4 linked regions of the Diceros bicornis minor genome follow. Each later gene encodes a partner of the first gene's protein in a complex. Links are inferred from orthologs where the notes say so. Each region holds a gene or a part of one and is shown in the gene's direction. Other genes may lie near its edges. The genes, in order: MED8, MED1, MED25 and MED20.

Evidence for each region.
Region 2: MED8 (region 1) and MED1 share a complex: the UniProt entries of both Homo sapiens proteins name them as parts of the mediator complex. The link is inferred for Diceros bicornis minor from reciprocal best matches to the Homo sapiens genes MED8 and MED1.
Region 3: MED8 (region 1) and MED25 share a complex: the UniProt entries of both Homo sapiens proteins name them as parts of the mediator complex. The link is inferred for Diceros bicornis minor from reciprocal best matches to the Homo sapiens genes MED8 and MED25.
Region 4: MED8 (region 1) and MED20 share a complex: the UniProt entries of both Homo sapiens proteins name them as parts of the mediator complex. The link is inferred for Diceros bicornis minor from reciprocal best matches to the Homo sapiens genes MED8 and MED20.

What each region holds. Positions count from the first base shown.
Region 1 is NC_080752.1:6,335,891-6,343,826, reverse strand, and holds the start of MED8 (mediator of RNA polymerase II transcription subunit 8), read left to right. Parts: upstream 1-4,936; 5' UTR 4,937-4,990; coding exon 4,991-4,996; exon of another isoform or gene 4,997-5,060; intron 5,061-6,387; coding exon 6,388-6,506; intron 6,507-7,191; coding exon 7,192-7,336; intron 7,337-7,864; coding exon 7,865-7,936. Other genes in the region: KICSTOR complex protein SZT2, read right to left, coding at 4,759-4,785. UniProt on the Homo sapiens protein: Component of the Mediator complex, a coactivator involved in the regulated transcription of nearly all RNA polymerase II-dependent genes.
Region 2 is NC_080757.1:39,169,490-39,176,743, reverse strand, and holds the start of MED1 (mediator of RNA polymerase II transcription subunit 1), read left to right. Parts: upstream 1-4,251; 5' UTR 4,252-4,436; coding exon 4,437-4,461; intron 4,462-6,706; coding exon 6,707-6,813; intron 6,814-7,254. UniProt on the Homo sapiens protein: Component of the Mediator complex, a coactivator involved in the regulated transcription of nearly all RNA polymerase II-dependent genes.
Region 3 is NC_080773.1:25,175,341-25,183,133, forward strand, and holds the start of MED25 (mediator of RNA polymerase II transcription subunit 25), read left to right. Parts: upstream 1-4,777; 5' UTR 4,778-4,814; coding exon 4,815-4,948; intron 4,949-5,041; coding exon 5,042-5,087; intron 5,088-6,126; coding exon 6,127-6,251; intron 6,252-7,793. UniProt on the Homo sapiens protein: Component of the Mediator complex, a coactivator involved in the regulated transcription of nearly all RNA polymerase II-dependent genes.
Region 4 is NC_080753.1:23,514,742-23,521,877, forward strand, and holds the start of MED20 (mediator of RNA polymerase II transcription subunit 20), read left to right. Parts: upstream 1-4,133; 5' UTR 4,134-4,234; coding exon 4,235-4,248; intron 4,249-6,856; coding exon 6,857-7,011; intron 7,012-7,136. Other genes in the region: BYSL (bystin), read right to left, coding at 3,438-3,705. UniProt on the Homo sapiens protein: Component of the Mediator complex, a coactivator involved in the regulated transcription of nearly all RNA polymerase II-dependent genes.

The sequences.
Region 1 (7,936 bases):
CTTTACCATACTGTTGACTCAGGAAACCTCCCTGACTTTCTTGCTTGTGCTGCTGTTAAGACACAGCCCCCATTCTATCCTCATGCACTTTTTGGACACACACAATTACACTGGATAAATTCAGTGTATTATTCTATCGAGAAGCTTAGAGTGCTGTTCTGTCTTCTAGCAAACCTCTTTCCAGCTTAATTTCCCTGCTAATTTGATCAGGATGCCATCAAGCCCTCATCCAAGTCCAAACAGGACAAAGGCAAGGTGAGCATGCATTCACTCATCAGTCAACAAATTTATGGACAGCCTGCTACATGCCAGCACTGGGCTAGGTCCTAAGGATACAAAGGAAGGCAAGAATTGGCATTTTCTGCTCTCACAAAATTTACTCTAATGGAGAAAAAAACATTAATCAAATAATCACTAATTATTATATTATTACAAACTGAGTAGGTGTACTAAAAGATCAGAGTATGGTTCTATGATAGCATGTAACTTGACTCAGGCTAGGGTCTTAGGAGAAAGTGACAGTGAAGCTTGAGCAGGGAAAGGGAGATAAACCAGATGGAGGGTATAGCCGAGCACTGTGCTATTAGAAAACTTTCTTCAGGTTATTAGTTAGTAGGCTGCTTAATTCCACTACTGTACAGCTTCCATTTCTCCACCTTGTCTCAAAGGTTATTTTGTATGATAGACTGACTGTCCAAGGCCAAACTAAAGTCTAGTTCATCAATCAGTTCTTATAGAATCCACTTTCTTGAAGCCAGGAGCATTTGCCTAACTCGAGCTTTCTTGCAACATCCCCTTATACACGATCCTTCCAATTCAACAACTACATTTTCAAAACACCATCTCTAAGTTTTCTTCACATTCAAGATGTAATTTATCAGAATCAGACGACTTAAGAATTAATTTAAACAGCTAGAATGGTATTTTTCAAAGTGGGACCCCAGGACCAACTACATCGGAATTACCTAAGGTGCTTATTAAAATGCAGATTCCTGGGCACCATCCCAGACCAATTAGAGTTGATGGGGCTTAGGAATCTACATTTAACAAGCTCCCCAAGTGATTCTTCTACTTTAATGTTTGAGAATTCCCGAATTAGTTGTGTTCTCACAGCATCCACACACATGAAGCTTCAATTCTCCCACATTTAATCCCCCTGAGTCTGAGGTGCATTGGAGCAGTCTGGCAAAGAGAAAGCAGGGTTTTGGAGTCACAGACTTGGATTCAAATCTGCTTCTACTACTTGCTATCTAGGTGAGCTTGGACAAGTTACTTAATTCTTCCAGGCCTCAGTTTCTTCATTGATATCATGTGGATAAGAATATCTACTTCATAAGGATGTGGTTGCAATTAAACAAGGGAGTCAGAACTATGAGAGAAAAAGCTTATCATTCTTGGGAACATTTATTGAGGCCTACATACCATTTATAACAACATGAATAAAACATCATCAGGCACTGTGCTGCATACCATGTATACCAGGATGAAGGAAATCACCCATCTCATTAATTTGTTGTTTTTTGCACCTGTCCCTTTATGGTTAAGGTACAAATTATTTTTGAGCCTTTTTCAACCCTTGTGCTGAGTCCCATGAAATAACGTAGATTTTTCTTCCCCCTTGAATTGTCTGAAGATTCCTTACCTCTGTATTTATGCCAAAGTCCTGAACCTCTAGCATGGGCTCAACCAGAATCTTCTTCTCCAGCCTCATCTCTCACCCAACTCCCCCTGAGTTAGAGCGCCTAGGATCAAATGCTGGTTCTGCTGCTTATCAATATAAGGCCTTGGTGAAGTTACTTAAACTCTCTGTGCCTTCGCTTCCTCCTCTGTGAAACAGGGATAAACAGCGCCTACTTCGTGAGGATTTTACGAGTATTAGACGATATCTAGTAAGTACTGTGTTAGCTATTCTCATGTCACACAGCACCCACACAATCAGCTGCTTCCTCTCGGTTCTCTGAAGGCTCTAAGCTCCTTCTCACCTCAGGATTTTCACTATTGCCTTTGCCTGTAATGTGCTCTGCCTCTTCTCATTCTTCAGGCTTAAATGTCATTCCTCTGAGGCGGCTTCCTGATCCCCCTCACCCAACCACTTCTTTTTTTTTTTTTTTTTTTTTTTTGTGAGGAGATCAGCCCTGAGCTAACATCCGCCAATCCTCCTCTTTTTTTGCTGAGGAAGACGGCCCTGGGCCAACATCCGTGCCCATCTTCCTCCACTTTATATGGGACGCCGCCACAGCATGGCTTACCAAGCGGTGCGTCGGTGCGCGCCCGGGATCCAAACTAGCGAACCCCGGGCCGCCGCAGCGGAGCGCGCGCACCCAACCGCTTGCGCCACCGGGCCGGCCCCCCCAACCACTTCTTAACGAAATAGGTTAAGAACCCTTGTTAAACACTCACTCACTCTGTATTTTTCCTTTGCAGCACTTATTATCATAATTCAATGTTTACTCCATTACAATAGGGAACATGTCTGTCTTACACTGCTCTGTATCCACCCTGATACTTAGCACAATTCCAAGTCCATAGTAGCACTCATAAAATATGTTAAGTATTTGATGAATGAATGATTTCTTAAATCTGACTATGCTCTATCTCTCTCTCGGGATTGTAAAAAACCTCTAAAAATCAGTCACTTTTTGCCCAGGGGCAGAACTCTTCACTCCCTTTACCTTCTGAGATAAAATTTTCAGAAATGCAAATCCAGAACTTAACAAATGTTTAATTTTTGGCTGAATACTCCCAGGAGTATGTGTCTTGACTCCAAGCTACTTTAGATCCGCACTGTTCAATACGGTAGCTGCTACCATACGGGGCTACTGACCACTTGAAATGTTGCTAGTCCAAACGAGATGTGTTGTAAGTGTAAAATACACACTGGATTTTAAAGACTTGGTACCAAAAAAGAATGTTAAATACCACATAATTTTTTATATTTATTACATGTTGAAATGATAACATTTTGGAAATACATAAAATACATTAAAATTAATTTCACCTGTTTCTTTTTACCTTTTTTAAATGTGGCTACCAGAAAATTTATTTTTACAGCTTGCATTAGATTTCTATTGGAAATTTAGACTATCTGCCTAAAAGGTATGTTGTATTTCCCCACAACATCCCTCTGTTTCCTCTCATTTTAATTCATAATGAAACATACTCCAAATTCTTTCACGGAGTTCTCAATATTGATATTTCTGATGCATGAGCTATTTCACTACCCTGTGAACAAGTCTGATTCCTTTAAATACGGCAGTTTCCTACAGCCATATTCAATCCCGGGTCTCATCACACCAAATCCTAATGGACTGGAGATTTACCATCCTGTGGCTAGTTTTTTATTTATACTATAAACATTATGGTTAAGAACACAAGATCTGGAGCAGACCACCTGTTTTGGAGTCCTAGCTCTACTACTTATTAGCTGTGTAACTTGTTACTCTTAACATTTTTTTTTTTTGTGAGGAAGATCAGCCCTGAGCTAACATCCGATGCCAATCCTCCTCTTTTTCGCTGAGGAAGGTTGGCCCTGAGCTAACATCCACGCCTATCTTCCTCTACTTTACGTGGGACGCCCCTACAGCATGGCTTGACAAGCAGTGCACCGGTGGTGCTGGGGATCTGAACCTGTGAGAACCCCGGGACACCGAAGCGGGGCACGTGCACTCAACTGCTTGCGCCACCGGGCCGGCCCCAAGTTACTCTTAACATCTCTGTGCCTCCGTTTCCTCAACTGAAAAATGGGGATGACAATAGTGTCTACTTCACAGGGTTGAGAGCATTAGTTGATATTGGTCAAGTGCTTAGAAGGTGCCCGGCATGGGATAGCGTTAAGTAACGACTACTATTTGTGTCGTTATACACATCCTCATCCTTCCCATCTACTTAAACATTCTTTTATAATACTGGGCACCTTTCCTAGTGAGTCATTCTTTCCAAATCTAAGATGTTATGCTCGGATCTTCTAACTCCAAAACTCGGCTACTCTCCAACTGAGTAGCACTTGGGTAAGGTACTTAACCTCTCTCACTTTTCAGTTTTATCTGTAAATGAGAGTGGATATTGCCACCTTCCTTGCACAAGTTTGAATAACACAATGTAGTATACAAAGCTCCTTGCATGGTCCTTAGCGCTTTACAGATACCTCCTATGCATTTTCTGGTTTAATACATGTGATCCTCACAACACACCATAACGTAGGTATTTTACGAAGAAGGGAACAGGATCGGGGAAGTCAAGACTTGCCCGAAGTCGCACAGATTGCTAAACGGCAGCACCAATACTGGATCAAGGTTTCACTCCCAGTCAAACGTCTTTTCACGACACCAAAGCTGCTTTCCAAAAGCATGAGCGCTAGAACTAAATTAATTCATGCTATTTATGGAATTCCAGTGTGAAGAAATGCAGAAAACGGCAAAGTCAGTCTAATGCCGTGCTGCCCACTGAAACTGCAACAGAAAGTCAAAACACAGGTTTTGTTAATACCATTATCAGGTCAAAGAATCCGAGAGCCCTCAAATCAGCGACGTGGATAAAATTTCAGTAAACAAAACAAAGCGACGAAGTTTCTCTAGCCCCTGAGGACAGTGCGGACTGCGGGGAGGAGGTTCAACGGTCCGGCCTTCGGGGCTGGGCCGGTCCAGGGCCCGGCTACGCGGCCCGGCCTCACCCAGACCCAGAGGAGGTCAGGGCCGCGCTGGCCGCCTGATCCTCCCCCTCGGATCTCGGGGCCCAGCGCTGCGCCCGCCCGCCTCTCACCTCCGGCTCCGGGCGCTCCGAGGCCATCGCACAGCCCTCCCGCGCCGGCCGGGGCCAGAAAAGACGTTCCACTCGTGACCCCTGACCCGGCTACCGCGCTCCCGACCGGAACCAGAAATGAGTGCGAGGGCCGACTTCTGAGTTTTCTGATTGGTGGACGACGCCCTCTCCGAGTGGCTGGCTGACTTGGAAACCGGAAGAGGAAGTCGCCGCCGCCGCCACTGCCGCCGCAATGCAGGTGAGCCTGGTGGGGGCTCTTGACCGCTATCTGGCTTCGGATAACCGGACCGAGAGTGGGCTGGCTGAGGAGAGAGTGAGGAGTTGGGGCTGAGAGGAGGGAGCAGAGCCCGCAGCTGATGGATGAGGGAACGCGGGATGCGGGGCGACGCCGACTGGAGAGGGAGAGACGCGGATGAGAGATGGGGTGGAGCCCGGCTGACAGGAGACAGAGATGCGGCGAGGTTGGGAGGGAGGAGGCAGTACTGACTTGCTGCAGTGTGGGAAAGGATCAGGTTGTAATTTGGGAAGGTTGAGATGCAATCCAAGGCAGACGGCTCGGGGAACTGATGGGCTGGCTCAGGCCCCGGCCTAGGCTGTTGGATGGACGCTGTTGGATGCAGACATAACAGGGCATCTGTAATTGGAGGGAAGCCCGAAGGGTGAAAGAATTGTGGGACCGCGGTGGCCGAAAGCTAAGGTAATTATAATCTGAGGCCGTGGGCGGAACCAAGGATCAAGGCTCCTGTTCTACACGTTGGCGAGTTTGCAAGACGGTTTTGCATCATTCTTCCCAACCTGTGCCTGATAGTTGTTAAGGATGAGGAAATGAAGTAAAACTGGAGACCATAAACGGGAAGGAAATGCGTCGCAGACCCCCCCCCAGCATTTAAAATTGTTTGTCTAGTGTTTAGGACCATGTGCATTTTTTTGTCTTTCATTTGTCACTTAGTTTCTTGCAGCTGGTAGTGGTGCAAGAAACCAGTCTTAGTTTCTTGCACTGGTAGTCTGTCAGTAAACGACTATAGGTTGACAAAGCTTGTGAGAGGGGCACAGGAATATTGGCACAGAGATAAAATGAGTGCAGATTAATTCAGCAAGGAGGAGGTTGAAACATCAGATGCTGAGGGCAAATGAAGAGGGGGGAGGTGGTGGTGCAAGGCCGGTATTCAGAGAAACCTTCATGTGTAGGCAGATTTCCCAGAGATTGTGTCATTGGCAAGAACAGCCAGGTTCACAAGGCAAGTTCTAGAACAGAGGAAGCTGGAGTACATATGCTGCAGAGATATGCAAAAGATAATAAATCCAAGGCATTAGGTCTCGTGAAAATTTCTCAGTGAGAGACACTAGTACCTAATACAGAGAAAAACCAGGCATGGATTAGGAGATGATGCAAGAAAGGAATCAGTTGGCAGGAGGAATTGATGTCATGTGAATGGGTTTAAAGGTCTAAGGGTTGATGCTGTCTATAACCCAAATACCAAAGATAGACAAAAACCTGTCTCTTCTATGCCAACAAGATCCTGTGTTACTTGACTGGTGTTGCACACTGTCATCCTGGCATTTCAGCCTTCCTCTGTGTGTGTCATACTCACACCCGTCTGGGTAACCAACCTATTCCTATTGGTGCAGAGGGAGGAGAAGCAGCTTGAAGCATCGTTAGATGCACTGCTGAGCCAAGTGGCTGATCTGAAGAACTCACTGGGAGGTTTCATTTACAAGTTGGAGAACGAGTATGACCGGCTGACCTGGTAAGGGTTGCCAGAGCAAGCTGGGGAGGGCTCCATGAGTGGGGAGCCAGGACTCTTGGTGGATAGGACATCTCCAGTGATGTAACCATTTATCAGTTAGCAACTATTTTTTTGTTTGGAAAGAACTGGGTTTCCCAACATATAACAAGTGGAGTTTGGCTTAGGGCCTCCACTGCAAGGAAGTAGAGAGGTGCCCAGTTTGCCAACCCAGGTTCTTTCTAGCTTTTGATTCTCACCCTTTGACTTTTCTAGGAGGAGGTCCTCCCTCAGTGTATCCTCCCACTATAGTAGGAATACAGTATTCGTATTGGATTTCTTGGCATAGATGGTGCTGAGTCTTTTAGGTCCACCTACTCGGAGAGTGTGGATCCTATTTCCAGGCTAGAAAGGAGGCTTTTACCCAGTTTCTGAATTTTTAGTGATAACAGTGTAGCCATGGTTCCTATTTTGCCACTGTTCCTCACCCCATTCAAATAATGACCTGCCTTTTTTCTCCATCTATGTCAGAAACTGAAGTGTGTCCCTCTTTCCTAACCACGTAATCCCTGTGAGCCAGTCTGGTTCCTGCCCAGCCCAGCCACAGGGCTATGAATCTTTTTGGGGTGAGTCTGGGTATTCCTAGTCTGAAGGACCCCTTTTAGGCTGCTTTACTGGGAACATTCTGACACCCTCTTACCACCACCAGGCCCTCTGTCCTGGACAGCTTTGCCTTGCTCTCTGGACAGTTGAACACTCTGAACAAGGTCTTGAAGCATGAAAAGACACCACTCTTCCGTAACCAGGTCATCATCCCTCTGGTGTTGTCCCCAGACCGAGATGAAGATCTCATGGTAAGAGGAGGAGAAGGGTACAACTTGGGGAATTAAGTTCTTAGATGAGGACTCAGAGCACAGTTGTTGGTTGGTTATTCTAGAAGTTCTGAATGTGGAGTAGTGTGTGACAATAAGAAGCAAGGGCTGCATTTTGGAGGCCTTGCTTTTTGTCCTTCTGGAGTTGGGGGAGCCACTCCCAAATAGTGGTGAATTAACCTGAGGCCTGTGTCACCAAGGCAAAGACCTTTCTCCTCCAACCCCTATCTCTAGCAAAAAGTATGTTCCTTTGTGACTTTGTCTATTTCACTCTTAGATTAAAATGTGGTAGAGAGAGTTTGCCCCCAGGTCTGGTAGAGACAGAGGTGTGAGGAGACAGAAATAAAGGATGGAGTGAGGAGAATAGTGTCCTAGGAAGCTAGATATTATAAGTCTCAGGTTGTGTTTTCCCTGAAAATGCAGTGTTTGCCTGTGGAAGAAACTATATAGCAGGCCAGATTGAATCTTCTTGGAGTGCATAGTAGGATCAATAAAATCTGTGTGTTACAGCGGCAGACTGAAGGACGAGTGCCTGTCTTCAGCCATGAGGTGGTTCCTGACCACCTGAGAACCAAGCCTGAC
Region 2 (7,254 bases), on another chromosome or scaffold:
ATTTGTATCTAAGCAAAGAAGGAAAGATCACCCAGTAAATTAGGAGCCTAATAATTCTGAATGAAGGCAGAAGAATCCACTCTCAAAATCACTCCCTGAAAATGTTCTTGTTACTTTTGGTCTCATGGGTACCAAAAAAAGTTTTTTACCTAAATGTTGTGGGGGGTTTTTTTGGTGAGGAAGATTGTCCCTGAGCTAACATCTGTGCCAGTCTTCCTCTATTCTGTATATGGGACACCACCACAACAAGGCTTGATGCATAGGTCCACAACGGAATCTGAACCCGCCAACCCCAGGCCCCGAAGCAGAGCACACCAACTTAACCACTAAGCCACTGGCTGGCCCCTACCTGTATTGAGTCCATAAATCTTGATTAAAGATAAAAAAGAGTGGGGCCAGCCCCGTGGCTTAGCGGCTAAGTGCGTGCGCTCCGCTACTGGCGGCCGGGGTTCGCATCCCGGGTGCGCACCGACGCACTGCTTCTCTGGCCTGGCCGCGTCCCACATACATGCAACTAGAAGGATGTGCAGCTATGACATACAACTAGCTACGGGGGCTTTGGGGGAAAAATAAATAAATAAAAATTTTTAAAAAAGTGAAGCTTTTCATTGAAGTTTTATATCTTATATTCTATAGCACTTTTCAGTTTTCCACAGAACTCTTTTAAGTTTGTCAATAAATATCAGTTGAACAAATAAATAACCTGGTGAGGTAGCCAGGATGGGTATTATTATATGCATCTACTAAAGGTTGAAACTGAGACTCAGAAAGAATAGGAGCACATTTATACTAAATGTAGTCAGTGCCAGGGGCAGGGACAGCTCTTTCTTTAATCCTAAACCAGTACTCGTTCTAGTGCACTACATTTTCTCTTTTTGGTGGATAAAATTCTACTCTAACATCAATTACATAAAGCTGGGGGAAAAAATTCTATTCCTGGAAATCTCAGATTGTAAACTGCCTGGATTGGTTCAACAACTAGTGAGAATACTGCTTTTGTAAAATAAAGGTTAGTTCACTCTACAGAAAAACTTTGAACTCAGAAATTCCAGGACTGTGCCATTTGCTTTATTTGCATGACCTCCCGGGGCAGGGAGTCCGGGCAAATCTGTGAACCCCAAGGTGATCAGTCAGGTAATGACTATACTTTCTCTGTAAATCCCCCAAAACAGGTCAGAAAGCTTCTCTTTAGGCTGTACACAAGAGGAAATATTTAACTAAAGTTACAATAACTTTGCCCCCCCCAGACTAATTTGTTGTTTATTTATTTATTTTTTGTGAGAAAGATCGGCCCTAAGCTAACATCTGCCAATCCTCCTCTTTTTTGCTGAGGAAGACTGGCCCTGGGCTAACATCCATGCCCATCTTCCTCCACTTTATATGGGATGCCGCCACAGCATGGCTTGCCAAGCGGTGCGTTGGTGCGCGCCTGGGATCCGAACCGGCGAACCCTGAGCTGCCACAGCAGAGTGCGCGCACTTAACCGCTTGCGCCACCGCGGGCTGGCCCCTAATTTATTGGTTTAGATTTTAGATTTCAAGAGTCCTCCAAAGTCTCCCTCAAAGATGAGTCCCTTAAAATCTGTCCATTGTCTCTTTCTTGCCATGTAGAAAGATGGTTCCTGTGTGGGCCTTAAATGCTTTTCTTGTTTAATGACACATCTCTCCTATCTTTACATCTAGAGTACAAATTTTTTAACAATGTCATTTCATCTGCATTTTCAGATGAGAAATTATAACTTCTCATTCTATTCTATGAGCGGAATTTGGTAAAGTGTACTCCATTTTCAAGCTTTATAAGGGTTAAAATTTCTAGCTACACTTAGAACAGACATTATTGTTTACTTGTACAGAGAGTTTCCATGAGGAAGTGTAGCTGTGTAGCTAACATTGATACTTTGGGCATAATAATAAATTAACAAAAATTTTTTGAGTACCTATGATTATAGCGACCATTCATATTTTCAGAAGTCTAAATCAGGTGAGCCCATCAAGAGCTAGGGCTGTTTTCATGTTTATATTACCAGCTCCTAATACACAAGTATTAGGACCCCATAGATACTTGCTGAATGAAGAGCACTTTGTTTGACAACAGGAAAGGAAATAGCATTTAAAATATGAACTATCTTTGGAAATTCTCTCGTGGATAAATGCTGTGTGTACTTCATCAATTTTAAGGTTGCTAGATTTACATTATATAATATTCGGAACATACTTCTACGCTAAAAAATATAGAAATCTGAAATTCAAATTTAACTGAGCATTCTGTATTTTATCTGGCAACCCTATCAATTTATCTCAACACTATACACTGAGTAGCTGATATGTGTCAGGAGCTGGGCTAGGCAATGTCACTAGACAGTAGTGAAAGAAACCAAACCAGTGCAGCCCTCCCAGAGTTGACAGTCTAGTAGGGAAGACAGGCATTGAAGAAATCATCATGCACTTAATTAATTTTCATGGTGAAAGTGCTATTAAAGAAATAATAATATAACAGAGAATCTGATCAAATCAGGGATTAGAGAAGGCTTGCTTTGCTAGTTAGAGGAAGAGAGATTTAAATTGAAATCTGAATAAGAGGGCCTTAATGAGATGAAAAGACTGGAATAGGGGAAAGCCTCCCAGCAGTTAAAAAGGCCTGTTCCAGGACCTTGGGAGAGGAAGGAGTGCAGGAATTTTCTGCACATGAAGAAGCCCAGTGTGGCTGGGGGTTGGCAAGGGGAGGAGAGCTGGGTCTAGCAAGGCTTTACAGGCCCAGGAAAAGATTTGCCTACTAGGCCCAGGTATAGTGCTAGGTAGCGGGAATTCAGAAATGAGGGGCAATTCCTGCCCCAAGAAACTCACTATGTAGTGACTCAAAGGAATGAGGATAAGAGGAATAAGCAGGAAATAAAATTTGAATTCTACTTTCAAGGAGCATGGTTATAGGTATCTTTGTGGCAATAAAAACATGTTCCCAGACATTTCCAAAGTTTTGTTATTATTAAATTTACACTGCTGTGCCTGCTCACCTGAACTATAGTTATCTGCTGGAATCGCTTTGGAGGATGTTTGAATAGCATTTTTGAAATGTGGGGAAAGTCTGAGACTAGAGATCCAGCAGAAGTCCACTCCTTAGTATCCTTGCAGCAAACTACATAAAATCCAACTTTTCAGCAGTTATTTTCAAGGATGTGTATGGTAAAAAAAAAAAAAAAAAAAAAGTAGCCTTAATTATGTTAAGAACTTTCACCTAATGCTAGCATTGTTATATTTTAGCCTGGTTCTTCAGTTCCAGCGGCCATGAACTTCTCAACATTACCCCAAATTTCTCTTTGTGAGGATTTACTGATACAAGAGATACGACTACACATTTTTGTGACTTGTAGAGTGTGAGCTAACCTGCTTGTTTTGACTATGATTGCAAAAAAGGGACACAATCAGTTGTGAACGCCTTTAAGACTCAAAATATAATTAATAGCATCTGATGCTCTGATTGCTAACAATTTACCTTAATCCAAAATCTCCCAGATCTTCAAAAATATTGGAATTGCTCAAGAAATTATGTCTGAAATTAAAAATTAGGAAATAGGAATTAAGGGTACTGGGCTGGCTTGGAACGTCAAGTTACAAAGAGCCAATATCTTTTTTTTTTGAGGAAGATTGGCTCTAAGCTAACATCTGTTGCCAATCTTCCTTCTTTTTTCCTCTTTTCTCCCCAAAGCCCCAGTAGACAGTTGTGTGTGTCATAGTTGCACGTCCTTCTAGTTGTCTATGTCGGACGCCTCCTCAGCATGACTTGATGAGCGGTACGCAGGTCCACGCCCAGGATCCAAGCCGGCGAACCGGGCCGCCCAAGCAGAGCGCACGAACTTCACCGCGACGCCGGGCGGCCCGGCCAATATCTTTTTTACGGCATAATTAATCCATCTAGTATCTCAAGAAAACATACTATCTTTAGTAAAATATTTCCGATACCAATATTCTTCGAAAAGCTAGTCTTTCAGTAACGAGAGTGGGGGATTTTAATCTGCGAATTGCTTAAATGCCAAAAGGAAGACGACAGTTTTCGCGAAAGACCTAAAGAGCACCCGCCGGCAAACTCTACGCCTAGCTCCAAGACTCTGAGACAAACAAGAGGAAACGCTGTTGGAAAAATCTCGCGAGAAGCACCCTATTAACCATTTTACGCGATATTTTGGTGCCCAGCCCTTTTCCTCTCTCTCGCAGGATCACGGTTAATCTCGCGATTTTTGGGAAGTTCCGTTGGGGAAGATGGCGGCGGCCGCGAGCACCCTTCTCTTCTTGCCGCCGGGGACTTCAGACTGAGCCTTCCCGGGAAGAGTGGGGACTGCTGGTGCCCTGCGTCCCGGGATCCCGAACCAACTTGGTTCCCCCGTTATTGGTGGGGAAGGGCTTATCCTCTTGTGTAGGAATCGGGCTCTCCCCACCGTCAGGATGAAGGCTCAGGGGGAAACCGAGGGTGAGTGACTGAGGGGGAAAGAGGGGGGCGGGACACAGCTGGGGGGAGCCAACCTGTAAGAGGAGCTGTAAGAGGACCGATGCCTCCGCGGGGGCCACTTTCCCGGGGGCGCAGAGTCCAGGAGGCGGGGTATGTGTGGGTTTTATATTCTGACTGTGCCTTCCCTGGTGATGGAGAGCTCCGACTTTGGGGTGATGGGGGCTCCCAACTTCTGTGAAGGTTTCCTGCATAGCTAGGGGCAATCAATTGGGCCTCAGAGCGTTTTTAGTCTAAAGTGATGGGAGAACAGGCGAGTGAATCTAAAACTTGCTTACATCTCGTTCCAGAAGAGACGTCTGAATAATGACAAAAAATAACAGAGCTGCGTGTCAAAGTACTGGAGGATGTTTTGGCGTAAGGGAAATGATTAGGTCCTTAAAATATTAAAAGCCAGCAGTTCCCTAGAATGCCACAGTGTTCCGATCTTGTGCTATTGTATATTTTAAAAATGCGCTGAATTTCATCCTTTCAATGGCTGGCCTAACTTAGAAATGCTGAAGAATGACTTTTCTGTGGAAACTTACTTAGATTCTCTAAAGTTTCGCATTCTGGCTTAAATGCTTCCTTAGTATTTTGGACATAGTGCTATTGATACAGCTCACTGTATTGTTGTTAATTCTTCTTCTCCACTTTACTCTGAGCTTTGTAGATCAGGGCCCTTGTGTTCCTCATCGTTGCATGGTCCCTGGCACATAATAGTTGCTCAAAGAATGTTTGATTTGAACATTTGTGTAAAGATATTTATCTTCAGGCTTCTCAAGGAAAAGAAGGGGAGTGTGTTTTGAATGAGAGGAAGAAGAAAGGTATACTCCTTGGGTATAGAGGAATGACAAGTGTAAAAATGGAAACTCGATGAGGCAGGAATTTTGTCTAGTTTGCTCGCTGTTGTAGCCCCCACACGTACAATAGTGCTTGAATGAATAAGTCTTGAAAGTGGAAATTGCCAGAACTGTGTCCAGAACTATAAACTGGCTGAAACAGCCCCCAAACCAGTTTTCCAGAAGATGAGGGCATTGGAGGAAGGTGTTTGAATCTTGATTTAGAAGATGTCACTGCCTCAACTCTGATTGCTGACATTCTATTCATCTTTCAATGACATCTTTTCTGTAGCATCTCCGCAACTAATTATGAACTTTTCCTCCTTTGAATTTCAATAGAATGTGTCTCTGTTTTTAAGAGCATATCTCCTTTGGCTTTGTGTGATGGTTATTTCCACGTTAACTTATCCACACCCCCTCACAGATGTCATCTCAGGCATATTGTGTGTTTTTGCATTGCCAGTGGTCTCTAGCACAGGTCCTTGCTCATACTAAGCAGTACAAGAATTAGAAGAGGGTTGGAGAGTGTAGGTTTGTTCACACACCTAATCCAGGAGCCAGTCTTTTCTACCTTTCTGTTACCTCTGCTGGAAACTCATCCTGGTATCTGTTGTCCAAAACACTGGTGTCTTTAGTCAGTGATGTCTTCCCTGTCCATATAGTTTTAGTTTGAATTCAAATAGGAAAAATCTGAATGGGAAATAAAGCCTGTTTTCTTGATAGTACTTATAAATTGATCTCTTAAAATTATGTCAAAAAATTAAGAAAGTCTGTATTTTCACACTGAAAACCAACTAATCATAGTAAGGCCATGTTCAAATGTATGCTCCACATATATCATACAAAGGATTTCATGCATATCATGAAATGATTTTGCCATGAAATGTAGTCTCAATCCTGAAACATTATTAGAGATGGTTCTTTTTTTGGTTCTTATTAAAAGTTTGAATAGAAAGCAGTCTTGTTCTATGGTGTTTGTTAGATTAGACCCATAATTTGTGTGTCTTCTTATCATTAAAAATAAATTTCTTTGTATTTTTTTTTTTTTTTTTTTGCCTTTTCTCCCCAAAGCCCCAGTAGATAGTTGTATGTCATAGTTGCACATCCCTCTAGTTGCCGTATGTGGGACGTGGCCTCAGCATGGCCAGAGAAGTGATGCGTCGGTGCACGCCGGGGATCCGAACCCGGGCCACCAGTGGCGGAGCGCGTGCACCTAACCGCTAAGCCATGGGGTCAGCCCCTCTTTGTATGTTTTGAAGTAAATGACACTGAAAAATATTTTAACTGAGTTCTTAACAGGAGGAAGTATGGGAGTTTCATTTGCAGGAAAAACTGTGGAAGGTCTTGAAAGAAGAGTTTCTAATTATGTTTTCTGATTTATATCGTAGAATCGGAAAAGCTGAGTAAGATGAGTTCTCTCTTGGAACGGCTCCATGCAAAATTTAACCAAAATAGACCTTGGAGTGAAACCATTAAGCTTGTGCGTCAAGTCATGGTGAGGATTGTAGTGAAGTGGATAAAGTGTTGTGCTTAGATAATTATTTAATAAGCTAAGCTCCTGTGTAGACTTTTTAAAAGTAGTTATTGTAGTGTGTCTGCAGTTTTATTTATCATAAAACACCTGAGTACACTGGCTATCAACTTTAAGAGTCTAAGAGGGAGGTATATTTATAAAATGGTGTTAATCATGAGTTACAGTACACTGGGTTACTTTAGGCAAAGGTGATAAGAAATACACCTATAGAGGCACACAGGATAGATTGTTATAGAGAGACATTTATTCTTCACTTCCTGTCAAGCTGTTGATTCTAATGTGATAGTACTTTTATTGTATTTATACTACTAGTAGAATTTGCAATTTATTCTTAATTAGCTTCACCTGTTCACTCTGTCAAGCTCTTTTTCTACAGTACTAGCTTCACCTGTTCACTCTGTC
Region 3 (7,793 bases), on another chromosome or scaffold:
GAGGCGTGCAGAGGTCTAGGCTGAGGCTCCAAGGCAGGCAGCAGGCTCACAGAAGCCGGGCAGCCCCACGGGGCCTGGCAGGCCTGCCTCTCCAGGGGCGCCGGGACGCTTGATCTCCATCCTTGCCATTGATTTCCTGGCCACGCCAGCCAGGAAGTCCTGGGATCCCTGGTCACCCTTCTCTCCACATTTTCCCTTGGGCTCTGTGTTGCCAGTCTGACCCACAGCTCCCACGATGCCAGGAACGCCCCAAGGGCCAGAGTGCCCATGGGCTCCCTGCTTGCCTGGGTACCCAGGAGGCGCAAGGGGTCCTGGGGGCGCCATCATGCCAGTTGCACCCCGGGCCTCTTGCTTGGTACCCACAGCCACCGCTGCCAGTTGCCTTTGCAGCTTCTTCAGAATCCACAACGTGCTGGTGACTGGCTCCTCGGCCCGCCGGGCTCTGTCTCCCAGGCTGTCCAGGCTCGCGTCAGTCTCCTGCCAGTCCTCGAGGACTAGGGGGCCCTGGGGTAGCCCTGCACCCCTACTGGGGCCCGGGTAGCCAAGTACCTTATCTTTTAGGGGTTTTTGTGCAGATTTCATTAGGTACGCATGATTGATTAAATCATTGGCCAGTGGTGATTAACTCAATCTCCAGCTCCTCTCTCCTCCCCAGAGGTCAGGGATGGGGCTGAAAGTTCTAACCCTCTAATCCTGCCTTGATCCTTCTGGTGACCAACCCCACCCCAAAGCCATCTAGGGTCCCCCAGCCATGAGTCATTTCACCAGCATACCAAAAGACACTCTTTTCTCTCCAAAGATTCCAAAGGTCTTAGAAGCTCTTGTGTCGGGAACCAACCAGAGACTAAGACCAAATATTATAACAAAAGATGCTCCTACCACCCGTCTCACTCAGAAATTTACAAAGGTTTTAGGAGCTCTGTGCCAGGAAACCTAACAAAGACCAAATATATATTTCTTATTATACTGACAATATCTCTGTCTTTTGTGTGTGTGAGGAAGACCAGCCCTGAGCTAACATCCATGCCAATCCTTCCTCTTTTTGCTGAGGAAGACTGGCCCTGGGCTAACATCTGTGCCCATCTTCCTCCCCTTTATATGGGACGCTGCCACAGCATGGCCTGACAAGTGGTGCCTCGCTGAGGCGCCCAGGATCAGAATTCAGGCCGCCAGCAGCAGAGCGCACGCACTTAACCACTACGCCACGGGGCCGGCCCTCTCTGTCTTTTAGAGAGTTTGCTGGAGTTAATTCTGTTTTTAGTACCTGGAATGTCTTTCCCCCACCTTCATTATCGTACGATTCTGATGTGATAGTTAATTTTTCTCAAAACTCTTAACATATTCCACCATCTTCTAGTTTCTGTTTTTGCTGTTAAGAAGTTGGCTGTCATTCTACATAAAATTTCTTTGTGGAGGTCTGTTCTTTCCCTCTGGGTACTTTTTAGTCTTCTCTTTCACTACGATGAGTCAAGGTGAGCAATTCTTTTTTTTTCGGTGAGGAAGATTAGCCCTGAGCTAACATCCCTTGCCAATCCTCCTCTTTTTGCTGAGGAAGATTGGCCCTGGGCTAACATCCCTGCCCATCTCCCTCTGTTTTGTATGTGGGCTGCCTGCCACAGCATGGCTTGATAAGTAGTGCATAGGTCTGCACCCAAGATCTGAACCTGCGAACCCTGAGCTGCCAAAGTGAAGCGTGTAAACTTAACCACTACGCCACCCGCCCAGCCCCAGTAATTCTTTTTTATCATGATTTTATACTTTGTGCTTCCAGGATCCAAGGATTAATATTTTTTAATCAATTTCAGAAAATATACAGCCATAAGCTATGTAAGCTCTTAAAATATTGCCTCTCCTCCATTCTCTTTTTTCCTTTGGGTATTCCGAACCCATGAACTCCGGGCCACTGAAGCAGAGTGTGAGAACGTAACCACTATGCCACCAGGCTGGCCCCCTCCATATTTTTTTGATGCTGGCTGTTCTTTGTGATTGTGTCTGTGATAGGCTGCTTCTAAAATGGCTCCCAATGATCTCCACCTCCTAGTATTCACTACCTTTCCTCTTGTGTGTGCATGGGACCTGTGACTTGCCTTTAACAACGGAATTTAGCAAAAGCGATGTGATGTCCCTTCTGAGATTAGGTTACAGAGACTGTGACTTCCATCTTCCTTGTATTCTCTCTCTTGCTTGCTCTGCTGCAACCAATGCCACGTTGTGACCTCCCCAAAGGAGAGGTCATGGAACTGAGGGCAACCTCTGGCCAACAGCCTGTGAAGAACTGAATCCTGCTAACAATTATGAGAGTGAGCCTGGAAGCAGATCCTTCTCTAGTTGTGCCTTGAGAGGATTACAGCCCTAGCTCACACTGATTACAGCCTGTGAGAGACTCTGCAGCATAGGAGCCAGCTAAGTCTTGCCTGGATTCCTCATCTACAGAAACTGTGAAAGAATGTTGTTGCTTTAAGCCACTAAGTTTTGGGTAATTTGTTACACAACACAAGATAACTTAGATAATTTCCTTTATTTCTCCCACCATTTTGCACATTATGGAGACCTGGGGGTGGGGGTCTACATCTGTTAACTATTGTTTCTGTTGACTCATAGTCCTAGCCTCTGTGCTGGTGGTCTTTGACTGTGAACTCATTACTTGACATTGACCTGAGTCCTTTGTGGAGGATTTACTTCTAATTCTGCAGGTTGCCATGAGTGTTTAAACCTGGAACCAATTCTGTTGCCCCAGAAGGTCTTTGCTTAGCTGGAGAACCAGACTCAGTTTTCCAATTCACACCTGCCTTCAGGCTCTTGGTAATGCCAATGCAGCCCCTTCCCCTGCACTCAGCTCTACTCCAACCCCCTCTTTTTTGTTAATTTCTGGTTCTCTGTCTTTTTTTGGGGGAGGGGGAGTCTTGAAAACTGTTCCTACCTCTTATGCAACCACTAATGTCACAAAAACAGTGTTATAACACCTAATCCATCATAATGCCAGAAGCTGAAGTCCAGGCTAAAATATCTAACTGTTTATTGTACCCTTTGTAATACAGTAATGGAAATGGTTTAAAAAACAGTTAATACAACCAATCATACATTCAGCTTATCTAAAGAAAAGTTTCCTTGTAGTTAATAGGGCAGATCTTAATTTTAGGTACCATTTTAATCTTCTTACCCGTTGATCATTTTTTCTATCTCCAATTTACTTTTATCTTCCTTATAATTTTATTAAAAATTTCACTACAGTGCCATAGAAAAGAAGGGAGCTGCTTTAGATTCAAGAAATTTAAGAGAGATCATGTCTAAATAAGTGTTTGGTCTTTGTTTGGATCTTGATGCAAATGAAGCAATTGTAAAAAGACATTTTGAGAGAATTGGGGAAATTTGATTATGGATTTAGTGTTCGATGATACTAAGAAATAATTTTGTTAGGGGTGATAATGGCACAGTGGTTATGTAAGAAAAGGGCCATACCTTTTAGAGATGCCTGTTAAGCCTGTAGAGGAAAAATGATGTGATGTTGGGGATTTGCTTTAAAAGTCTTCGGCAAAGAAAATAAAAGAAAAAAGGGATGAACAAGGTAAATGTGACAATATGATAATACTGCTCTGTGCAAAGAGAATGCACCCTTTTACCTTGAAATATATTGCCAAAATGCATTAGGGCAAGCGTCCTGATTTCCGCCCCTACTAGACTACTCTGAGTCTGCTCCTTTTCCTCAAACCCTTCCACCCTCGTGGACATTATTCTTCCCAATGTTAATTAACATGACAAAAATAAAATATCATTGGACTTTCTGTTAGCACTTGTTAATTGGTGAAGATGAGCATTTTTCAGGTATTTGCCATTTTTATTTTGTATGTGCGTGGGAAAACCCTGCTTAGATTCTTTCTCATTAAAAAAACAAAGTATTTCTATTTTCTTAAGTTTTCATTGATCAGTAAGTTGGATTTGTGTAGTACATTTCTGTCAACACATATGTTACCATGACTTTCCCAGTTTATCGTCTTTTTTTTCAACTTGGTTTATCCAGTCTTTTGCGGACAAACTGATCAATCTCTTGTTTTCTGGCTTTGCTGTAACGATAAACCCTTTTTCCAGTCTTCAGGATTATACACTGTGTTTCTTCATTCCTTCGGATATTTTTACGGTTTCATTTGTTGTACTCACATTTTTAATCCACCTGGTATGTATTTATATTCTAGGCCGGTTTCTGGCCCCTCTCCCAGAAAACAACTATCTGGTGTTGCCTAGCAACGACTGCTTGGGTTGGATTTCGGCTTCTTTTCGGGAGAAAAACAACTTCACTCCCTTCGGAGTTGAGGGCAACCTTAAAGCGTTGCCTAGAAACCCGGTTTCGGACGATATGATTGGACCCTTCACAGGACCCTCCCCCATACCCTCCAGCTCCACAAAGAACTTAAGCGGAAACCTAATCTCTCTGTTAGAAAACAGGGGCAGCGTACGCGTTGCACAGCAACCAGCTCCCCTGATCCTCTCAGAGACTCCAGAGTCGGGACAGGCGCCCCGCTCAAAGATGGCGGCTGGCTGCGCCTCTGTCGGTATATTTCGCTCTGGACAGTCGTGCCAATAATTCAGTCTTCCGCATCAGGCCCCCAAAAGGGCTTGCTATGGCCTTTCTGAGTCTTCCACGTGGTGCGTGCGAGGATGGAGCTAGACCCGCCCGCCCTGGGTGCCCCGCACAAACATGGCGACGGGCGCGTCCGCGGCGGCGCGAAGCCGCCAGGCGCGGGCGCGCGCGCAGCGCAGGCGCACTTCTGCCCCTGTCGCGGTGACTGTGGCGGCGGTGGCGGCGGCGGCGCGGGGGAATGGTCCCCGGCTCGGAGGGCCCGGCCCGCGCCGGGGGCCTAGTGGCCGACGTGGTGTTTGTGATCGAGGGTACGGCCAACCTGGGGCCGTACTTCGAGGGGCTCCGCAAGCACTACCTGCTCCCGGCCATCGAGTGAGTACCGTTTCCGCGACTCCAACCCCGCCCTCCCACTGCAGTTTCCACAGCCCCGGGCCTGACCCCGACCTTTCACTTTCGACCCCACAGATATTTTAATGGTGGTCCACCTGCCGAGACGGACTTCGGGGGAGACGTGAGTCCTGGGACTCCCGGGTCCGAGGTCGAGGAGGGGCCGGGGGGTGGACTCCCGGGTCCGGGGGAGGAGGGGCCGGGGGGTGGACTCCCGGGTCCGGGGGAGGAGGGGGCCGGGGGGTGGACTCCCGGGTCCGAGGGAGGAGGGGGCCGGGGGCCCGGACTCCCGGGTCCGGGGGAGGAGGGGCCGGGGGGTGGACTCCCGGGTCCGGGGGAGGAGGGGGCCGGGGGGTGGACTCCCGCGTCCGGGGGAGGAGGGGGCGGGGGGTGGACTCCCGGGTCCGGGGGAGGAGGGGCCGGGGGGTGGACTCCCGGGGCCGGGGGAGGAGGGGGCGGGGGGTGGACTCCCGGGGCCGGGGGAGGAGGGGCCGGGGGGTGGACTCCCGGGGCCGGGGGAGGAGGGGGCCGGGGGGTGGACTCCCGGGTCCGGGGGAGGAGGGGGCCGGGGGGTGGACTCCCGCGTCCGGGGGAGGAGGGGGCGGGGGGTGGACTCCCGGGTCCGGGGGAGGAGGGGCCGGGGGGTGGACTCCCGGGTCCGGGGGAGGAGGGGCCGGGGGGTGGACTCCCGGGTCCGGGGGAGGAGGGGGCCGGGGGCCCGGACTCCCGGGTCCGGGGGAGGAGGGGGCGGGGGGTGGACTGCCGGGTCCGGGGGAGGAGGGGGCCGGGGGGTGGACTGCCGGGTCCGGGGGAGGAGGGGGCCGGGGGGTGGACTCCCGGGTCCGGGGGAGGAGGGGGCCGGGGGGTGGACTGCCGGGTCCGGGGGAGGAGGGGGCCGGGGGGTGGACTGCCGGGTCCGGGGGAGGAGGGGGCCGGGGGGTGGACTGCCGGGTCCGGGGGAGGAGGGGCCGGGGGCCCGGACTCCCGGGTCCGGGGGAGGAGGGGCCGGGGGCCCGGACTCCCGGGTCCGGGGGAGGAGGGGCCGGGGGATGGACTCCCGGGGCCGGGGGAGGAGGGGGCGGGGGGATGGACGCCGGGGGCCCGGACTCCTTCTCTGAGGGAGCTGGGATCCAGATGCAAAGTTCTCTGTCCTTTCCTCCCAGTATGGGGGGACCCAGTACAGCCTGGTGGTGTTCAACACGGTGGACTGCGCTCCCGAGTCCTACGTACAGTGTCACGCTCCCACCAGCAGCGCCTATGAGTTCGTCACCTGGCTCGATGGCATTAAGTGAGTTTTTCCCCGTGCTTGGGGCGGCTTGGGGGACCCTTGAGGGGCCGTGAACGGGTGGCGGCTTGGGTTGGCGCTGCAGGAACCATTGCCTCATATGGGGTGGCCGAAAGGACCGAGAGGGGTGGTGTTTTTGTCCATAAGTCACTTCCGTTGTGGGTTGTGTGCGCTCAGCGATTTTGCCATCAGATTCGAAAGTAGAAAAAACTTGCTGGTCAAGGAGGCCTCTTGGGCCTGGGCACCTGCCTCCTACTCCATGTGTGATTCTCGCCTTTCTGTTGGCTGTTTCTCATCTCTACTCCAGTTCTCCTGTTTCTCATGGGCACGTTGAAGCCTGAAGGCAGGGGGAGGGGCTAGGCCGACATAGATCCCTCTGTGCTTTGGATCCAGTTTTGATAGTTCACACTGCAGGCTCTTGCAGGTGTGGACAGCCTGGGGCCAAACCACAGCTGTACCAGGACAGAACTCCCAGACCCAGGAGTCCCTGCCCCCTCTGCCTAATATAATTTATCTCTAAAGGGGGGTGTTAATAGTACTTGTGTTAGTTATTTATGTATGACTCAGACACTGTTGCCTAACAGGTTACCCCAAAACTTACTGGCTCAAAACAGCAAACATTTATTACCGCTTGCAGTTTCTGTAAGTAAGGAATTCAGGAGCGGCTTAGCTGGGAGGTTTTGGCTCAGATTCTCCTGTGGTTCCAGTCACAATGAGCTGAGGCCGCAGTCACTCAAAGATTTGAACGGACTGGAGGACCTGTTTCCAAGGTGGCTCACCCTATGGCTGTTGGCTGGGGGCCTCAATTCCTTGCTGGCTGTTAGCCACAAGGCCTCCCGGTGGGGCTGCTTGAGTGTCCTCCCAACATGGCAGCTGGCTTTCCTCAGACGGAGCAATCCCACAGAAAGCACAGTGGAAGCCGCAAGGCTTGTTATGATCCAATCTTGGAAGTCACACACCATCGCTTCTGCCACATTCTGTTTAGTACACAAGTCGGTCCTGTTCAGTGTTTGAGTGGGTGTGAGTACCAGGGGGCCGGTGTCAGTGGGGGCCTGGCTGCCATGACTTCAAAGGGGTACTTTGGGAATTAAATGAGTTGCTGACTGTTTAAAACGGTGCCTGGCGGGTATTAGGTGCTACCTAAGTGTTTGCTGTGTCCCCTCGTGGTCATTAGAATTAGTAGTCAGGATGGGGCAGGGTTTCTCAGCCTCAGCACTGTTGACACCTTGGGGCAAATAACAATAGTTGTTGTGGGGACTGTCCTGTACATTGTAGGATGTTCAGCAGCAGCCCTGTTCTCTACCCACCAGCTGCCAGTGGCCACTTCCCTCCCAAGGTGTGACAAACAAAAACGTCTCTAGACATTGTGAAATGTCCCGGGTGGGGGGGTTCAAAATCCACCCCAGTTGAGAACCGCTGGCGTAGATGGTGATAAGACTTAAGTAATGTTAAATGGGGCCTCCTTGAGGCCCGAGTCCAAGTTTGATATCCCTCAAATCCCTAGCACGCAGCACAGGGCCTGGCACCAAGGAAACCTAAGGAAAA
Region 4 (7,136 bases), on another chromosome or scaffold:
CCTGATTTTATGCCAAAACGAGTGGTAGAGACAGAATATACCACAGGCACTTAGAAGATGATGATGCAGAGAATGGTTAGCCTCTGGATAGGCAGTACGGGAACTGGAGGAGTGTGTTCCGGATCTGGGTAACAACACGGGCAAAAGTGCTTGGTTACAAGAGTGTCTCTTAAGCAGTAGCAAGAAATAAGGCTAGATGGGTAAAGTGAAGCCAGACTGTGGAGTTCAGACTGGAAGGCTACAGCTGGCTGGGCATCTGGAAAGGGATGCGATAATCCAAGCGGGGAGATGAAATGCTACATATGAACAGGTCATTAAGAATAGAGACAGTGGGGCCGGCCCAGTGGCCTAGCAGTTAAGTGGTCTGCTACTGGCGGCCTGGGTTCGGATCCTGGGCGCGCACCGACGCACTGCTTCTCTGGCCATGCTGAGGCCACGTCCCACATACAGCAACTAGAAGGATATGCAACTATGACATACAACTATCTACTGGGGCTTTGGGGGAAAAAAAGGAAGAGGATTGGCAATAGATGTTAGCTCAGAGCCAGTCTTCCTCAGCAAAAAGAGGAGGATTAGCACGGATGTTAGCTCAGGGCTGATCTTCCCCACAAAAAAAAAATAAATAAATAATAGAGGCAGTGGAGCCGGCCCGGTGGCATAGCGGTTAGGTTCGCATGCTCTGCTTCGGTGGCCTGGGGTTCGCAGGTTCGGATCCTGGGCGTGGACTGACGCACCGCTCATTGGGCCATGCTGTGGTGGCGTCCCACATAAAGTAGAGGAAGACGGGCACGTATGTTAGCCCAGGGCCAATCTTCCTCAGCAAAAAGAGGAGGATTGGCAACGGATGTTAGCTCAGGACTAATCTTCCTCACAAAAAGACAAAACAAAACAAAACAGAGGCAGTGTGTGATAAAACCAAAATGAGTGCGGGGAGTGGTGCCAGAGGTTTTCTCTCTACTTACTAACAACTCCCAAATCTGTACTTGTCGGTGGATCTCCCTTCCTTGCAGACTCTAACTCCAGCTGCCTCCTGTACAGCCACTCTTTTTTTTTTTTTTTTTCCTGTAACAACCTTTATTCCTCTTCCTCCATAGAATTCACAAAAGGGTCATCTTATCTTTTCAACAATTTATGTTGGCTCATTATGGGAAGTACACTTGCATCTGTACAGCCACTGTTGATGGCCCACAGGCATTTCAAACTTCACCTGTCACCAACCAAACTCATTCTCTTTCCCTCCTAGGTCTACACTACTCACTGTGTTCCACATGTGGAACACTGGCACCACCATCTACCCAATGTTAAGGCAGAACCTGGGAAGCAGGCCTGCCTCGTCCCCTGACCTCACCCCCAACACTCAATCAATTACCAAGTCCTATTCGATTCTACCTCATAGAATATCTCCCAGATCCTTCACAGCTCTGTCTAAGCAGAGCAGCATCATCTCTTGCCTGGATTAATTCAACAATCCCCTACCTGGTCTCCATATACTCCAATAGTTTCTCACTGTCTTTAGAATGGCTTTAAATCCTGAGCACAGCCTCCAAGTCTTTTGTGGATTTGGCTCCTACCTACCTCACCATCATTCATTAATCCATTCATTTAGCAAACACTGAGTGCCTACTATATGTGAAGCACTGTTCTGGGTGCTGAACATATATTAGCGAACAAGAGAAACAAAACTTTTTACCCTCACAGAGCTTACATTCTAATGGGGGAGACAGATGAATAAATATGATATATATTAGGTTAAAAGAAGACACGTGCTATGAAAAAAGAAAACAGGGCAGAGTAGAGACATTCGGGAGTGTGGAGACAGGGGTGGGATGTTGCCATTTTTAATGGAGTGGCCTCTCTGAGAAGGTGAAGAACTAAGGGAGTAAGCCTACAGGCGTATGAGGACAGAAGGAACAACCACGGCCCTAACTCGCCATGTTTAAGAAAGAATGAAGCCTATATGGGTGGAGTGAAGAGAACAACAGGGGCAGATCACACAGGTCTTTGTAGACGGCTGTAATCTTCTAGCTGTTGAGCTGTGAGTGGACTATAGGGGGTATGGGATACTAAATTAGGGGGCTACTGCAATCATCCAGGCGAGACATTGCAGTGGCTTGAACAGGATGGTGTTCCAAGGTGGTGAGAAGTGGTCTGATTCCGGATATATTTTGAAGGTAGAGTCAACAGGATTCCCTAACAGATCAGATATGGACCAAGAAAGAGAGGAGCCCAGGGGTTCTGTCTTGAGCAAAAGGAAGGATATCATGCTATTGACTGAGATGAGGAAGACAGTGAGAGAAGCAGGTTTGGCGAGAAGGTCAGGATTTCTGTTTTGGACACGTTAAAATCGGGATGCTTATTAGACTTCAAATGGGAGATGCCAAATAGGCAGCTGAAATATACGAGTCTGTGCTTCATGGAAGAAAGCAGGACTAGAATACAAAGTTGGGAGAAGTCACCAAATAGATGGTGTTTAAACCATGAAACTGATGACAGCACCAGAGAAGTGACGAGAAGAGGTGCAAGGACTGAACTCTGCAGCTCTTGAATGATAAGAGGCTGGGGACAAAAGAGGAGCCAGAAAAGACTATTGAGAAGTGAAGAAGTAGTGAAACAGGAATGCACTGTCTTAGAAGTCAAGTAAAGATACTGCAGCCAGGAGGCAGGTGTTCAATTGTGTCAAATGCTGCTCTCCGGACAAATGAAAGATGAGATCTGAGAAATGGATTAAGCAACTCGGAGGGCAACACTCACCCTAATAAAAAAATACTGACCACCTTTTAATTAATCTCTCTCCTCTTTAGCCCCTACACAATATTGTTCTTTCTGCTCAGAACACTCTGCACTGGTTTTTCAGGTCTCAGCACAAAGGTCATGCAATCTGGGAAGCCCGACCCCCAAGGTTAATGCTATTGTTATCTGAGAAACTATACTTTCTTTATCGTTGAGATTATTATTATTATTAGAATAGTATTAATGTAATATTATTATAATAATATATTACAATTATTATTTTAATTGTCTCTCTCTTGGGCTAGACTTTAATATCCTGAAATCAGGCACAAGTCTATCTTGTTTACTTCTTTACCCAAACCATCTAAACTAGCACAGTGCGAAGCACGTAGTAGACATCCCATAAGTAATTAGAGAACAAATGGATAAATGCTAGGAAAACTTAGTAGCGTGAGCAATCGCTTCCTGTTGGCATAACTTCGGGGGTGCCTAGAAAGGAGTGCCTAAAACTATGAGTGGGCGTGGAGGGTTCTGACCACCCTAAATTCGCTCCAGGGCTGGGTCTCCCATTCCATTACCTTTGCAAGGTGGTAATATAAACCACGCTCCTTTTATTTTTTATTGCAAGTTATTCCCGTGGCGGACATCTTTCAGCCGTCCACTCCAATTAACCGCGCTCTTCCTCGCACCCAGCCCCCGCCACTCACCCAGCCGCGTGGTGCGCTCCCGCGGCACCGAGGGCCGGTTCCCGGTCCCATGCTCGGCCTCCAGCTCCTCCTGCTGCTGCCGCGCTTGCTCCAAAATCCGTCGGGTCAGCCGGGGCCCCACATACTCTTCCTCCTCTTCTCCGGTTCCACGGCCCCGCCGCTTTTCCCGGGCCCCTGCCCGCACCGCGTCCCCAGCCAGGATCTGCTCGGCCAGGGGCGCATGTTTTTCCTGAACCCCGGCCCCGCGGGCCGCCTTGAATTTGGGCATTTTTCTCGAAAACCTCGCCGGGAAGGTTCACACGTGGGGACGGGAAAAAGCCCTGATTGCGCTTGCGCAGTGAACCCCGCGCCCAACAGGCGAGACGGCGATCACAGCGTTCCCTAGCGTTCGGAGGCCGGGAGTGCCATCAGCGACGCCCCACCCCCTAAAAGAGCTCACTGGTCCTGGAGCAGGACTCCTGAATAAACTCATTGCCTTTAACGTTGGCTTCTCTAAGTGGTGGCAGGCCGAGCCACGCTTTCCTAGCTTCATGGATCTAGGCCCGGCCACATGAGAATTTCTCCCGCGGCAAGCCTGGGCCAGGGTCGGACAGTGACGTCACTGCATGCGTCACCGAGGAGGCGCCTAGACAAGCCCCTGTTCCTCGTGGGCGCGTCGACTGGGCGCTCTGTTTTTGCGTCATTTCCGGAGCACCTCCCTCCAGCGAGCCTGGCGGTAGGGGGCTTCACTTAGCGTGGGCGGCCAGAAAGCGCTGCCTTTCAGCTGTTGGATCCTGCCACCTTCCTGGCCCGACACCATGGGAGTGACTTGGTAGGAGTGCGAGGGATTTTGTGGGGCGGGGCTTGGGGTCGTGAAGGGGCCCTTGGAGCCTGGACTGTACCCGGGAGGAGGAGCGAGATCAGGGTCCGCCGTCCCTCAGGAGCTGAGCAAGATGTCCTCGGATTGTGTGGGTGAGGGGGACACCATGAGGGTCGCGGAGTCTCAGGGCCTGTTTCCTCAGAGATGCGCCCCTTCCTCTTGGAAGGCGGCTGGTAAAAGGTTTTATCCCAGGAACCCATCAATGGTTGTGTACCTCGTTCGTTTTTTCTTGGTCCATATGCCTGCCCGTGGGGCTGTGGTACTGCTGGGGGTGGAACTTTAGGGTCGGAAATAGGATGTCCGGACTAGGATCCATCTGCAGGCAGGTCTGGAGGGGTTGAGGGATAGGCAAGGAGGAGACAGTATCTTTTTTAGGTTTTCGCCTGCTCCTCCTTACAGCCGCTAAATGCAGTTAGACCAGCCTGTATCTGGTTCTAGTTTGACCATTTTAAGATTCTCTGTCTAGAGGTAAAAAAGAAGCTATTGGGAATTAGGAGATTGGGGTTCCAGGCATGTCACCTTTTCAGGATCCCTTCCTACTATGTTTAATTACATGGTTGGTCTAGTTTTTATGGACTTATTAGCTCTAACATGTTATAAGTCTGGGTGGCAGGGAAAGGTGTGGGCCTAATGCTCTTGGAGGCATTAGTTCCAAAATGCTAGATTTCAGGGCTTTTTTTTTTTTTTTTAATACCGGGAAGTGTGAACATCTTTCCAGTCAGAGAGGGCTGGAGGCCAGGATATCTGAAGCTAGTGGCTGTAGGCTTCTTCTATAAGAACCTGTGGGCACTACTCCTCCTGATAACCCAGGTTCTTGAGGTTTGTTGGTGATTGCACCTTTGTTTCCTACAGTTGTCATCAGAGCCTCCTCAGGTTCTCTAGTGTAAGGGGATATGTGAGCGATGGGAATGCAAAGTTTGAAGCACAGAGGCTTGGAACCCTGGAGCCCCTGTTCTTTCAATAGAGAAGGCCTACAGAGGGAAGGGCTCTCTTTTGGGACCATTATCAACTTTCTCCGACTCCTAGGACTTCTGACCTCAGTAGCATCAGTTTAGGGAGTCTCTTATATTTCAAAATAAGGCACATCATTATCATTGCTTATCAGTGCTTTTTCTTTCTTTTTTTAAATTTATTTATTTCCCCCAAAGCCCCAGTAGATAGTTGTACATCATAGTTGCACATCCTTCTAGTTGCTGTATGTGGGACGCGGCCTCAGCATGGCCGGAGAAACCACGCGTCGGTGCGTGCCCGGGATCCGAACCCAGGCCGCCAGCAGCGGAGCGCGTGCCCTTAACCGCTAAGCCACGGGGCCGGCCCTATCAGTGCTTTTTCTTATGGAGAGTAGTGACAATTATTAGCAACGTCAGGACTCTACTTTTATATCTTCATTTGGTTGACTGATCCTAAAGTAATGCAGTGTCTCCCAACATTCACTCACATATGATTCTCCTTAGGACTTTTGTATAGCCAAGTACCAGCTCTACTATTATTTATTAGTGTTTTCTTTTAAATCTATTTATTTTCCTTTAAAGTATTTAACAGGCAACTGTGTCCCTAGGGAGGCAGTCCAGTATGGTGGTTAAGAGTGTGGACATGGCGCCAGCTTGCCTAGCTTTGAATCTTTGCTACAGCACACCAAGCTGTGTGACCTTGTGTGAGTTATTCAACCCCTCTGTACTTTAGTTTCCTCATTGGTAACAAGGAGATAAATAATAGCACATCTTATAGGGCTGTTGTGAGGATTGGAAGACTTAATTCATCTGAAGGCCTTTGGACACTGCCTGGCACATAGTTTGCGCTTGGTGATTTTTACCCACCCCTCTAAAGGGGAAGCCAATTTCACTCACCATAGAAGGAAATCTTGGAAATAACGTTTTTTGTTTCATTGTTTTGATTAAATTCTTGTACGTACTGTTGCCTCTCATCCCCGAAGATTATAAACTCGAGGCTTGCTTTCTTTTTGATCTTAGGGCTGTCGAATAGAACTTTCTGTGGTGATGGAAATGTTGTATATTAGCAGTGTCCAGTACCCTAGCCCCCAGCCACTATTGAGCTATTGAGCCCTTAAAATGTGGTTGCAGCAGAGGAGTTGAATTTTTAATTTAATTTGTTTTATTAGTTTAAGTGTAAATAGCCACATGTGGCTTGTGTCTGCTGTACTGGACAGTGCACGTTCAAAGTGTTGTAGAGTTGGTAAAAATACACTATCCCCAAACTGAGGCTTTCTCCTTCATACAGTCAGAAGTGAAAGAATCACAAAGCTCATTATACAACTCAGTGTTATCGAGGGCTCAGTCTGTGTGCCACCTAAAATTTTCTCATGCTACGCTTGGGAAGTGCTGGTGTGATAGATAGGAAGTTCACTGCACTTCTCTGCGAGTCCTGAGAGATGTCCTCAGGGACCGTGGGCCTCTATTTCCTCTGTTTTAAAATGAGGGGGTCAGGGTCAGTGGTCTCGAAGTTAATTTCTGGCCCTGATGAGCTGTGATTCTGTGAGTGAGTGGTTCAGCGAGTGCACATGTGTCATTGCATATTGATGGTTTGGTACTCTCCCTTCCAGTGTGTCCCAGATGCCTGTCGCTGAGGGCAAGAGTGTCCAGCAGACCGTGGAGCTCCTCACCAGGAAATTGGAGATGCTTGGGGCAGAGAAGCAAGGAACATTTTGTGTGGACTGTGAGACCTACCACACGGCTGCCTCTACCCTTGGCAGTCAAGGTCAGTGAGAAGGGTCTGTGTGATGGCTGGAACCTGGCTTGGAGTTGATAGATGTTCATGTTCATTGAAATCTTTCTGTTCTTCTGCTAAAGGTGGTATTCTTAAACGTGTGGCACAGGTGTTTC